2 linked regions of the Arabidopsis thaliana genome follow. The protein of the gene in region 1 interacts with the protein of each later gene in a pairwise test. Each region holds a gene or a part of one and is shown in the gene's direction. Other genes may lie near its edges.

Region 1 (5,760 bases):
AACTCTTTTCTACTGGATGACGATTCGAGGTTAGTACTCACTCATGTATTCGACCCCATATTTTAATTTCCTTTTATCAACTATGTACATGAATGATGGATTTTGTATTTTTTTGTTGTTGTTGGCAGTATTCCTTTCTCGGTTGATGATTTGTCGAAATCGATGGAGCGGATAGAGATCGGAGATGTAGAACCACCACCTCTTATCCGAGAGAATTCTGGTTTTAGCTTTCTATTGCCATGTTCTGACTAATAAAGATAAATTGGTTCAATAAGTTTACACCACCACTGTGTAGTTGTGATAATCCTACTCGATCTTTTGAATAGAGGTGACAATAAGTTCAACTTTTCATTATATACTAAGAATACAATCTTTTTGAAGCAGATCTAACCTGGTCTTATCAGAAATTATACCGTGCCACTTTTTTTTGTTTTGTTTGCAACATATTTTTCGGATCATGTATGAACTGCAAAGCAAATGTGCTGCAAAACATTTCAACATAAGTCTGTATAAAGAAAGCTGTTAAAAATAGTAAACTAAATTTTCCACGACTAAAATAAGTTCCAAAACAGTATACATACAAAAGATCTGGATTTATCGAACAAGCATATCTGGATAAGTTTTTTTTTTTGTTTTAGTTTCAAACTTGTCTAATTACCTCCTTTGACTTTCATAAGCATTCATAAACAAGTTTGAAATGGAATCAAATTGTTTTCCAATGGAGCTGTCATTGAATTGGATATAATGTCTAAGACCATTCAGTAAGCCCGAACTTTGCAAGAACTTTAAAATTGACCAATGCTAACTGAAAACTATCGTCTCGGATTTATAAATAGTAGTCACTCTCCTTCATATTAATTATAATTCAAGTCTTGCAATTTATGTAGCTGATCCCTCATGCATGCATTTGTTATAAAAACTTTGTTACTCTCTATAGATTAATTCCTGAAAACCCTAGATAAACTGTTCTCTGGTGATCTTTAGAACTAAAAGCAGTCTTGTTCAAAGCAAGAAACAAAAAAATCAGCCTTCATAGAAAATGAAACTTCTATCAACTATTTCTTCAACCTAAAAGCAGTCTTGTTCAACGCAAAAAACAAATAAAATGTTTAAAGAAAACGGACTAATCTTGCAGTTGCACTAAACTTGGAACATAAGAAGAGCTCACAAGTTGGCAAGATTGCAGCTGTGAATTGAAAACTAGTTCGATGTTGACAGCTTTGAAGTATCCACTATCTCCAACGATGCAAGCTCTCTGGTAGTACTGACAGGTCTCACGTCCTCTATATCTGTTTGTACCGAAAAGCACAGCGACCTTCTTCTCCTCATCGAAGAAAAAGCTCGTAGCATAAGAGTGAACAAAAAAGTTATCCGGTAAACCATTGATTAGTGTCATATCAATTCTCAAAAAAGTGGTCCATGATACTGCACTGGGATCAATCTTAGTCGAAATACAAATCTCTATTGTGCCAAATCTGTTGAGGTGGCTGTATAACACAGCGAGTTTCTCATTTCTAACACAAGATAGAGTCAAATATTCAAAACGACGAGATGGAGGTTTAAACAGCATAGGCAAACGTGGTCCCTTTCGACCAAAAAAGTAAGTATTTCCCTTCAAAGACACGCTATTGTGACTAAACAGTTCATGCCAATCTATATCAATATCAAGAACCCTCCATGAATCAGAGCTAAAATCGTAAACATCAATAATGACGTTTCTTGGACTCCCCTCATAAAGAAACCTCAAAATTTTGTGGTTACGGTTGTTGTCGTATCCAAGAGCAAACTTGTCATATCTGTGGAGTTTTTTTCTTGGTTGAATCAATTTCGTCTGCCCTAAATACGGATTCCATACCATAACACTCGAGTTGTCTTTGGCGATGCATAACAATAAGCCATCACAGTGATAGACTTGAGATATCTCGACTTGATCAACTTTATTAGGTATACTTATTTGCTTTATAGATAGATCAATCAAATCTTCTTCGCTACGGATTCCTTGAAGATCTAATCTCAAAGAACAAACCCTAGAATCTGTAACCATGAACTCCAAGAACTGATTCTTTGCTGCTGCTTTTTTACCTAAGATGTCATATTTCGATATAGCGTTCCACTTTTTACAAGTAGATCTCACTGCTCTTAGAGATGTCAATGGAACCCTAGAAAATATTTCTCTTACCAAATCATCCGGTAGATCGGTTACTGTCGCCATTCTTCCTCCAAGTTTTCAGCTTTCTCCACAAGTTTAATGTCTCATTGACCTATTCGGTACCCTAATATGTTTGTATATGTGTTTTGGTTGGGCTTGTAATAAAGTTTTGCTTTGGCACAGATTTTTTAAATGGGCCTATTATTTGGAAAAAAATAAACCATCGAATCCTTAACTATATCATATGGTAAAATTACGAAATCGTTTAGCAACTGATTTTCAGTTTTACTTAAAAACTACGAAGCTCTTGATTTAGTTCGTAGAGTGCACCACCACATATTTAGTAATCTCTTTATAGATCAGATGATATGTGACTAACATAAATTTCCAGAGTAGATGAGTGATGACTATATATTAATTGGGAAACTTTGACATCTATCACTTTTACGATTCCATTTCTCAAAATAAACTACTAAAGACTTTTTTTTTAAAAGGATGCAAAAGAATCCTAAGATAGAGTGTTTTGAGAAGTCTATTAGCCCATGGAACTAGAGTTTTAGCTAGCAAAAGCATATAAATTTATGGTTAGAACATCCATGGAAGGTAACTTTGTTTGAGAGTTGTCCTCTCAAAACAACTCTCTTCCTTCATCTTAATAAGAGTATCAATTTCGAATCATAGTGTTCTTGGTGACAACGAAGTAATATTTTCTCTATCAGTACCCTTGCATCATAAAGTTTTAATAATCTATCTAAGTTCTTAGTTTCTATCTTAATAAGTTTGAATCTTTCTTCTTTTGAGATTGCTTACAAAAAAATCATTCAAGAATCAATTTATAAAACCTTATATAACTTTATAAATATTTTCTATAAAATGTATTTAAAGAAATTATAAATCCTTTTGTGGTGTTTTTGAAAAAAAAAATTAGTGATAGTTATGAAATGTATCATAAAAATTGTAGTTTTCAAATTCTTCCTCAAGAATTTGATTATACGGGTTGTTGCTGAACATAGAGATGAACAAAAAGAAGATATGTGTTGAAAACATTGGAATGTTGCCAAAGTCGTCATCCTAACTAAACCAATATACCGAATGATTTATTGTTTTTGTTTTATTATCGAATTAAATACAAAAAGATTACTGTAACTGTTGAACAACCTCTAGTCTTTCTAATATATTCTGATTAATTCAACGTTATAGGTGAGGAAGGTAAGATGTTGGTAAAAGTCATGCATGGAAACAACTTCACAAGACAAAACTTTGATATAAAATAAAGTACATATAATACATGTTGGTGCATTAGTATTACTAAATACAAAGTTGTAGATCCATGGGAGATCAACAAAAAATTCACCCGGTTCTTCAAATGGAAGCCAACAAGACGAAGACAACAACACCAGCTCCCGGAAAGACAGTCTTGCTTCCGGTTCAACGGCCGATTCCGCCTCCTGTTATTCCTAGTAAGAATCGAAATATGTGCTGCAAAATCTTTTGTTGGGTGTTAAGCCTTCTAGTCATTGCATTGATCGCGTTAGCAATTGCGGTTGCGGTTGTATACTTTGTTTTCCACCCTAAACTCCCGAGTTACGAAGTCAACAGTTTACGAGTTACCAACCTTGGAATCAATCTAGACCTCTCTCTTTCCGCGGAGTTTAAAGTCGAGATCACAGCTCGTAATCCCAACGAAAAGATTGGGATTTATTACGAGAAAGGAGGTCATATCGGTGTGTGGTACGACAAGACAAAGCTATGTGAAGGCCCTATACCGAGGTTTTATCAAGGACATCGCAATGTAACTAAACTAAATGTGGCTCTAACGGGAAGAGCGCAATATGGGAACACTGTCTTGGCGGCATTGCAGCAGCAACAACAAACAGGACGTGTACCGTTAGATCTTAAAGTGAATGCACCTGTCGCCATCAAACTCGGAAATCTGAAGATGAAGAAGATTCGGATATTGGGGAGTTGTAAGCTTGTTGTTGATAGTTTATCAACGAACAATAATATCAACATCAAAGCTAGTGATTGCAGTTTTAAGGCCAAACTCTGAGATGTTCTTAGATCTAGGCGCTTTTACTTTTTATTGGTGTTAATTACTCAATTCATCATTTTCTTATGCATTTGATTCATATTTTGGATTAATGGTTTTATTCTCAATAAAAGATTGATTTTTATTTTTTAAATTACGAGAGATTTTTGAAATTTCAAAATATTGCAAATGAATGGTTCTTTTCCGCTTAACATAATTTCTATGAAGTAGTCGGAACGAGACTCTCTTCTAGAGAGAGAGAGAGTCATTCAGGAACCGACGTGCTTACATGGGAAAAAAACCTATTGCGATCTCATGTCTTTTTCCAAGGCAATCGATCCGCACATTAAAACGACGAGAAAGAAAATTAATACTAGAAGAGGGAAAAAAACATACAAGGGAACCAAATGTCGTCATCTCAACTACAAATGTTGGCTACACTGAAAGTTTTTCAATAGAGATAAGATCTTCACGGTCGAAAGCAAAAGAGCAACTCGTAACACCTATCGAGATTATAAATTCTATTGCCCATAGCATGGAATCAACTTCAGCATGAATGGTTTGGTAGTGTGAATCACATCTATACTATTTTTTCAATGGTAAAACTTTCGAAAATTACAATAGAATTGAAATATAAAATTTCGAGAAAATTCAAACGATCTCGAGTTTAATTCATCCCAAGTAAAAAAAGAAGTAAAAATCGAAGAAATTACAATGTAATCATTATCAATTAACAACATTAATTCATGTATATAAAATTCAAACATAACCAAATTATAAATCAAATTTTCCCAAAAGAAAAATAAAAAGCTCTAAATGCTTTAAAAAATCTCATCACTTGCCTTGTTTAGATTCATGAAGAACAGCTTTCATAATCAATCCATCATTATGCACAACCATAATCACCGGCGAGTTTCCGATACCTCTCGCCATCGCCGTCAAAATCTCTGCAATCAAATCCCTAAAATTTTTTGGAACCAAATCTTCACCGAATCTCTCGAAAATCGCATTGTACACGTTATCGGTCTCGTCTCCAGGAGCGACCTCAGATTCCACAGCTACCACATTGTTGAGACCTTGACGAAGCTCCGATGGAGACAACATTCCGTTTTTGTCTAGATCTAGAATCTGGAAATAGTCGTTGGTTATGGATTCGAATGATTTTGTATCGGAAAGGAATCCGATTAGAGTTTTGCTTGTGATTACTGTTTCGATCATCGTAGAATTCTCGAATTCGTGTTTTGAGATCTGAATTTGGAAAAAGTCTCTTTGAATTTTTTTGTTTTTCTTTGATGTTTGGTTAAATGATGCTACAAGATTCGATAACGTAGTAATATGTTGCGTGCATGTTTTGCCACAGAGAATATAAGCTACCTTTTAAAATTATGAGTTTTTTTTTTTTGGTTTTGTTTTTTGTTTTTTCTTGTTGATTTTATTTTTAAGCTTGAAAATTATATGATTTTAATGTTAATTTTCTGATAACTATGTAAATGTCTTCACATTTACAGTTTTAGTTTGCATATACACCTATTTTTTTTTAGAAGATTTTGTGTAGTTAGTTAAAATGATTTTACATGTTGAG
Region 2 (7,336 bases), on another chromosome or scaffold:
ATAACGTTGGAAATCTCAGCACAAACTTAACAGATTTTGATAGATTATGGGAGCGATTGATAGCTCATATGGTGACTAAAGCTTCATCAGCATCAATAAAATATTTATCATTTGATAACAGTAGATTCTATGCAGCTGATGAAACAAACTTGACAAATTCTCAAATGGTCTACGCTTTGATGCAATGCACGCCAGACGTCTCTCCTTCCAACTGTAACACTTGTTTAAAACAAAGTGTTGATGACTATGTTGGTTGTTGTCATGGGAAGCAAGGCGGCTATGTGTATCGGCCTAGTTGCATTTTCCGGTGGGATCTATACCCTTTCAATGGCGCCTTTGATCTTCTTACGCTAGCGCCTCCACCCTCATCTCAGCTGCAATCCCCACCTCCAGTGACCAACAAAGGTATGTGATTTACTTAAATAAATGATAGAAATAACCCTTCTTGTATTCAACTCTAAGAAGAGCTAGGTGATTTGGTCTTGCACAGATGAAAAAACGATTCATACAGGAACTATCATTGGGATTGTCATTGTCGTTGCAATGGTCATAATCATGGCTCTGCTTGCTCTAGGGGTTTCTGTTTGCAGGAGTAGAAAAAAATATCAAGCTTTTGCCTCAGAAAGTGAGTTCCTCTTGTTTTCTTTCTTATCAGCTGGTCTTGCTGCTAATTTACGAAAGAATTTCACCGACCTGACCATAAAACCACCTACATTTTCATTGTGCAGCTGCCGATGATATTACAACAGTTGGATATCTCCAGTTTGATATTAAAGACATTGAAGCTGCAACAAGTAACTTTTTGGCGAGTAACAAGATTGGTCAAGGTGGTTTCGGCGAAGTTTACAAGGCATTTTCTCCCCAACTACTCTTAAGTTGTATTTGTGTTATGTTTGAAGATATTGAGATAGTGGGATGATTAGTTAGATTCAGTTGTAATATGCAGGGTACGTTATCAAATGGAACTGAAGTTGCAGTCAAGAGGCTGTCAAGAACTTCAGATCAAGGTGAATTGGAGTTCAAGAACGAGGTGCTTCTTGTAGCAAAACTTCAGCACCGGAATCTCGTTAGGCTTCTCGGTTTTGCTCTGCAAGGAGAAGAAAAGATACTCGTCTTTGAGTTTGTTCCCAACAAGAGCCTCGATTATTTCCTCTTCGGTAGTACTAGTAGTCTAATTTTCCTCTTGATCCAATATTCTTGAAATCTTAAGCTTGGATTTGCAAATGGATGTGCAGACCCAACAAAAAAGGGTCAGCTGGACTGGACAAGACGGTACAACATCATTGGAGGGATTACACGAGGGCTTCTCTATCTTCATCAAGACTCTAGGCTCACCATCATACACCGTGACATCAAAGCGAGTAACATTCTTTTAGATGCTGATATGAACCCGAAAATAGCGGATTTCGGGATGGCTAGGAATTTCAGAGATCATCAAACTGAAGACAGTACAGGAAGAGTCGTTGGAACCTTGTTAGTATTCTCCTTATTATTTACAATGGGCACAATTCTCTGATGAACGGTTTTTGTTACTGACTAACGTAAACATTGTCATGTATATATTTGCAGCGGTTACATGCCTCCAGAATATGTTGCGCATGGCCAATTCTCTACCAAATCCGATGTCTATAGCTTCGGAGTATTGATTCTAGAGATTGTTAGTGGCAGGAAGAATAGCAGCTTCTATCAGATGGATGGTTCTGTTTGCAACTTGGTCACATATGTGAGCTGAAATCTAAAATGCTTTTTTTACTTTCTAACTGTGATCATCGATTCTGAATACGAGTTTGTTTGCAGGTTTGGAGACTTTGGAACACTGATTCATCTTTAGAGCTCGTAGATCCGGCGATTAGCGGAAGCTATGAGAAAGATGAAGTCACTAGATGCATCCATATCGGACTTTTATGCGTTCAAGAAAATCCTGTGAATCGACCAGCATTGTCTACAATATTCCAAATGCTCACTAATAGCTCCATTACTCTAAATGTCCCTCAACCACCTGGATTTTTCTTCAGGAACAGACCTGAGTCAGACACATTACGCCGTGGATTGGAGCCAGACCAATATAACAATGAATCTGTTACTTGTTCTATCGACAATGCAACAATCACTACACTCCTCGGTAAAACTCTTGCTTCTGCACTCTGTTGTATTACCTCAACTCTATTTTCAAAGTCAATGTATAGAAACACTGAGGATTGAATTATTTTTGAATATTAAAAGTTATCTCATTTTGATTCTGGTTTATGTATTCACGTTCATTTTTTGTTAAGAATAAATGCTTGGCTCACCTGCCCAATAACATCTTTTTTTGACCAAATCAAGGTTCTCAAAATAGTACGGTGAATGAAATCAAACTAGGCTATCCACTGTTTTATCCTCACATGTTTCTGCTTTGTGTCTTCCTTCACAAAGATGCAGGGACTCAGTATTTTAGACCCAACGGTACTCATTCCTTAATGGAGACTAAGAGATTTTTAAAACAATAGGAACCGACGACTTAAATACTTGTGTTTGGTCATTGCTTGTTGCATTGTGTTTTGGAGTAAGTTAGAACGTTTTGGTGTCAAATAGGGCCTAGAAGAGCTACAGATCAAGAATTGGTCTACGTTCACTTTCATCATATTTACCTAACGTGTTTATAAAGTATTAAATTATCCAAAACGTTGACCTAGGTGACTTGTGCATTAATGCACGTATCCACTACTTGACGAAAATTCTACACGCGAAAGCTGTTTTGACCAAATCAACGTTCCAAAATAAACATTTCCTTTTAAAGATTCAAGTTCTAAGATCTGCAACAAGTATCTGAGCAAAGTAAAATGTCAAGAGAAAAAATGTGTTTGAACACTCTCTGTGCAATCCTCTGTTTTGTCCTTACCGTTAGTTTCGGCTTCGTCTCTGCCCAAAAATGCGGGGAGTCTGTGTTTTTCAGACCTAACGGTAACTATGACACTAACCGTCGTCTCGTTCTATCAACGTTAGCTTCCAACGTCAGTTCTCAAAACAACCGCTTCTACAACGTTTCGGTCGGTGAAGGAGCTGGAAGAATCTATGCCTTAGGTCTCTGTATCCCAGGGTCTGATCCAAGGGTGTGTTCCGATTGTATCCAACTCGCGTCTCAAGGTTTATTACAAACCTGTCCGAACCAGACCGACTCATTCTACTGGACAGGCGACAACGCCGACAAGACGCTCTGTTTCGTTCGTTACTCTAACAACTCGTTTTTCAACAAGATGGCTCTAGAGCCAACTCACGCAGTTTACAATACTATGAGGTTCCAAGGGAACCTCACAGCTTATACAAGAACATGGGACGCGTTCATGAACTTTATGTTCACCCGAGTCGGTCAAACTCGATACCTGGCTGATATATCCCCTCGGATAAATCAGGAACCTTTGTCTCCTGATCTTATATACGCGCTGATGCAGTGTATTCCGGGGATATCTTCTGAAGACTGTGAAACCTGTCTTGGAAAATGTGTCGATGACTACCAGAGTTGCTGCAATGGGTTCATAGGTGGAGTCGTTAACAAGCCGGTCTGCTATTTCCGGTGGGATGGTTATAAATATTATGGTGCCTTCGGTGATGAAGCGCCATCTCAACCCCCCACGCCGCTTCCTCTTCCTCCTCCTCCTCCTCGTGATCCAGATGGAAAAAAGATCTCTACAGGAGTTATTGTGGCTATTGTTGTTTCCGCAGTTATCTTCGTGGTGCTAGTCGCTTTAGGATTAGTTATTTGGAAGCGAAGACAATCATACAAAACACTGAAATATCATAGTGAGTTACTTTTTTTGTTTTTGTTTTTTTATCACTCTCACATTACTTATTGGAATGCATATTAGTAACCATGCATATGTTATATATTTGCAGCTGATGATGATATGACAAGTCCACAGTCTCTGCAATTTGATTTTACAACAATTGAAGTGGCAACAGATAATTTTTCGAGGAACAACAAGCTAGGTCAAGGCGGATTCGGTGAAGTTTACAAGGTATATTTGAGCTGAGCTCTACATATATCTATGACTGCTTGATTTGCTGTGAAAACTAAGAACTTATAAGTTTTTCATATGTAGGGAATGTTACCTAATGAAACAGAAATTGCGGTAAAGCGTCTATCGAGTAATTCAGGACAAGGCACACAAGAGTTCAAGAACGAGGTTGTGATTGTGGCCAAACTTCAACACAAGAATCTTGTTAGGCTTCTTGGGTTTTGCATAGAAAGAGATGAACAGATACTTGTCTACGAGTTTGTTTCCAACAAGAGCCTTGATTATTTCCTCTTTGGTAATAAACAATAACACTTGGTTTAATTTATGTTCATTCATCAAATTTTCTTATAATTATAGTGTAATTTAGATCCAAAAATGAAAAGTCAACTAGATTGGAAAAGACGGTACAACATCATAGGAGGGGTTACGCGAGGACTTCTCTATCTTCATCAAGACTCAAGGCTAACAATCATACACCGTGACATCAAAGCAAGTAACATACTTTTAGATGCTGATATGAACCCTAAAATAGCTGATTTTGGAATGGCAAGGAATTTTAGAGTGGACCAAACTGAAGACCAGACAGGAAGAGTTGTTGGAACCTTGTTAGTACTCCGATAATCTCTTTAAAATTGATAAACCTTTTTCTATTTGTTTGTTTCTGATTAACATAAACCTTTTTATGTTGTATATTTGCAGCGGTTACATGCCTCCAGAGTATGTGACACATGGCCAATTCTCTACCAAATCTGATGTATATAGCTTTGGTGTATTGATCTTGGAGATTGTTTGTGGCAAGAAGAACAGCAGCTTCTTTCAGATGGATGATTCTGGGGGAAATTTAGTGACACATGTGAGCAGAAAACAATTTAAAATTTTACTTTGTTTAGATTGTGACCATCAAGGATTTGGATTCTGAATATGAGTTTAATTTCTTGGCAGGTTTGGAGGCTTTGGAACAATGATTCACCCTTAGATCTCATCGACCCTGCGATTAAGGAAAGCTACGATAATGATGAAGTCATTAGATGTATCCATATCGGAATTTTATGTGTTCAAGAAACTCCGGCAGATCGTCCAGAGATGTCTACAATCTTTCAAATGCTTACCAATAGCTCCATTACTCTGCCTGTGCCTCGACCACCTGGATTTTTCTTCAGGAACAGACCCAATTTAGACCCCTTAACCTATGGATCCGAGCAGGGGCAATCCAGCAGCATGTCTGTTCCTTTTTCTATAGATAGTGCGTCAATCACTAGAGCCACTCCTCGGTGAGATGATTGCTTTTGCACTAGTCAGTAGCATTTTACTTGTAACACAAGCAACTCCAGTTTTCAAAGGTCCAGTTAATTTTTATGGTAATATGGGTACATATAAAACCAAACTTATGTGTAGCCGTGTAGGTAGAGTATTCCTTTCTTGTTTTTTCCCATGGCAAGATGAGAATTTGTCAAACCTCAAATATGATACATTAACCTCTAAGAACAACCACTTACGAACCCATTTTTTTACTTCTTCAGTCATCTATGATAGTCACCAGCTTGCTTATTCAGCTTTTTGCTCCCCCAGATTTTCTATAAAGTGGCAACAAATTTTATTATTTCCCCTGAAATATCCATGCAACTACACTTATATTATGATGATGTTCCAATGATTTTGATCACCAACATTTGTAGATCTCTAAGGTTTTTATGTTTCATCAAACTCTATCTAGCAGCTTCACATGTGCTAGTATATTTGTAACGTCTCTCATCCAAGTCCTCTCTTTCAAAGACTGGTTTTCGCTATTTCAAGAGGCTATAAAGACTTCCGGAAGCACACTTAATTAACTGTGACAGGATGTTTCACCGAAAAGATAAGTGGACTTTGGTGACATAGATTGCCTCTCCGAAGCACTATATACACCACTATATTCCTTTAATAGAGGTGTTACAATATCATCTTGATAAATATTACCAACAACATGCTATTGCTTGAACACTAAACGTATTAACTCATAATCGCTAACGAATTTGAACATACGTCTTGAAATAAGACCAAGAATCGACACAAGCTAACGAGTTCTCCTATATCACGCGTGGTGTGATCTTTAGCGTACATGTCAATGGAATTAAACACACTATCTCCAGTATACCACCAGAACAGAGTTTTAACAGTACTGCAAGTAACAAACCCTTTATATAGTACTGTTTGTATTATAATACTTTAACAGAAAAAGTCCGCAACACTAACAGAAAAAGATTTTATATTTATCGCATTGACTTGACTATGTTTGTCTCAACAACTACTTAACGAAAATTCCTACCACCCATACTTTTTGACTAATCAACATCCAAAATGTTCTAGTAAAACCATTACCGAGCTGACTTGAATATGCTTTCCTCAATTACTTAACAAAATTTCTAACCAACCATGCTTTTTGACAAAATCAACGACCCTAAGTGCTACAGTAAAATAAAATGTGTACATTATTTACAATCTGTAACACATACCTGACCAAAGTAAAATATCCAAAAAAGATATGTGTCTGCAAAATCTCTTGTCAATCCTCTGTTTTGTCCTCGCCATTAGCTTCGGCTACGTGTCTGCACAAAAATGCGTGGATTCAATGTTTTTCAGACCCAACGGTACTTATGACACAAACCGTCATCTCATTCTCTCAAACCTTGCTTCCAACGTGAGTTCTCGAGACGGCTACTACAACGGTTCTGTCGGTGAAGGCCCTGATAGAATCTATGCGTTAGGTCTCTGTATCCCAGGGACTGATCCAAAGGTCTGTGATGATTGTATGCAAATCGCATCTACGGGTATATTACAAAACTGCCCGAACCAGACCGACTCATACGACTGGAGATCCCAGAAAACACTCTGTTTCGTTCGTTACTCCAACAGCTCGTTTTTCAACAAAATGGATCTAGAGCCGACAATGGTTATAGGAGATCTAAATAGTGGACTATTCCAAGGGGACCTTGCAGCTTATACAAGAACATGGGAGGAGTTCATGAACTCTATGATCACCAGAGTCGGTCGAACTCGTTACCTGGCCGATATATCCCCTCGGATAGGTTCTGCTCGTATATATGCGCTGATGCAATGTATTCGAGGGATATCCTCTATGGAATGTGAAACTTGTATTCGAGATAATGTGCGTATGTACCAGAGTTGCTGCAATGGGTTCATAGGAGGAACTATTCGCAAGCCGGTCTGCTTTTTCAGGTGGGATGGTTCTGAATATCTTGGTGCCTTTGGTGACACGCCATCGCTACCTCCACCATCTCCAGATGGGAAAACAATATCTACGGGAGCTATTGTTGCAGTTGTTGTCTCCGTGGTTATATTTG

Evidence for each region. Proteins that work in one complex are often made in the same cells at the same time.
Region 2: the proteins of AT1G54540 (region 1) and CRK31 interact in a protein complementation assay, tested with the Arabidopsis thaliana proteins (one large-scale study listed by BioGRID).

Annotation. Positions count from the first base shown.
Region 1 is NC_003070.9:20,366,141-20,371,900, reverse strand, and holds AT1G54540 (Late embryogenesis abundant (LEA) hydroxyproline-rich glycoprotein family), read left to right. Parts: upstream 1-3,389; 5' UTR 3,390-3,479; coding exon 3,480-4,199; 3' UTR 4,200-4,348; downstream 4,349-5,760. Other genes in the region: XIE (Myosin family protein with Dil domain-containing protein), read left to right, coding at 1-29, 129-252; AT1G54550 (F-box and associated interaction domains-containing protein), read right to left, coding at 1,124-2,212; AT1G54530 (Calcium-binding EF hand family protein), read right to left, coding at 5,013-5,396.
Region 2 is NC_003075.7:6,964,892-6,972,227, forward strand, and holds CRK31 (cysteine-rich RLK (RECEPTOR-like protein kinase) 31), read left to right. Parts: upstream 1-2,817; 5' UTR 2,818-2,822; coding exon 2,823-3,780; intron 3,781-3,873; coding exon 3,874-3,995; intron 3,996-4,079; coding exon 4,080-4,290; intron 4,291-4,362; coding exon 4,363-4,600; intron 4,601-4,694; coding exon 4,695-4,848; intron 4,849-4,937; coding exon 4,938-5,270; 3' UTR 5,271-5,578; downstream 5,579-7,336. Other genes in the region: CRK30 (cysteine-rich RLK (RECEPTOR-like protein kinase) 30), read left to right, coding at 1-405, 491-625, 729-850, 947-1,166, 1,236-1,473, 1,570-1,723, 1,798-2,202; CRK32 (cysteine-rich RLK (RECEPTOR-like protein kinase) 32), read left to right, coding at 6,517-7,336.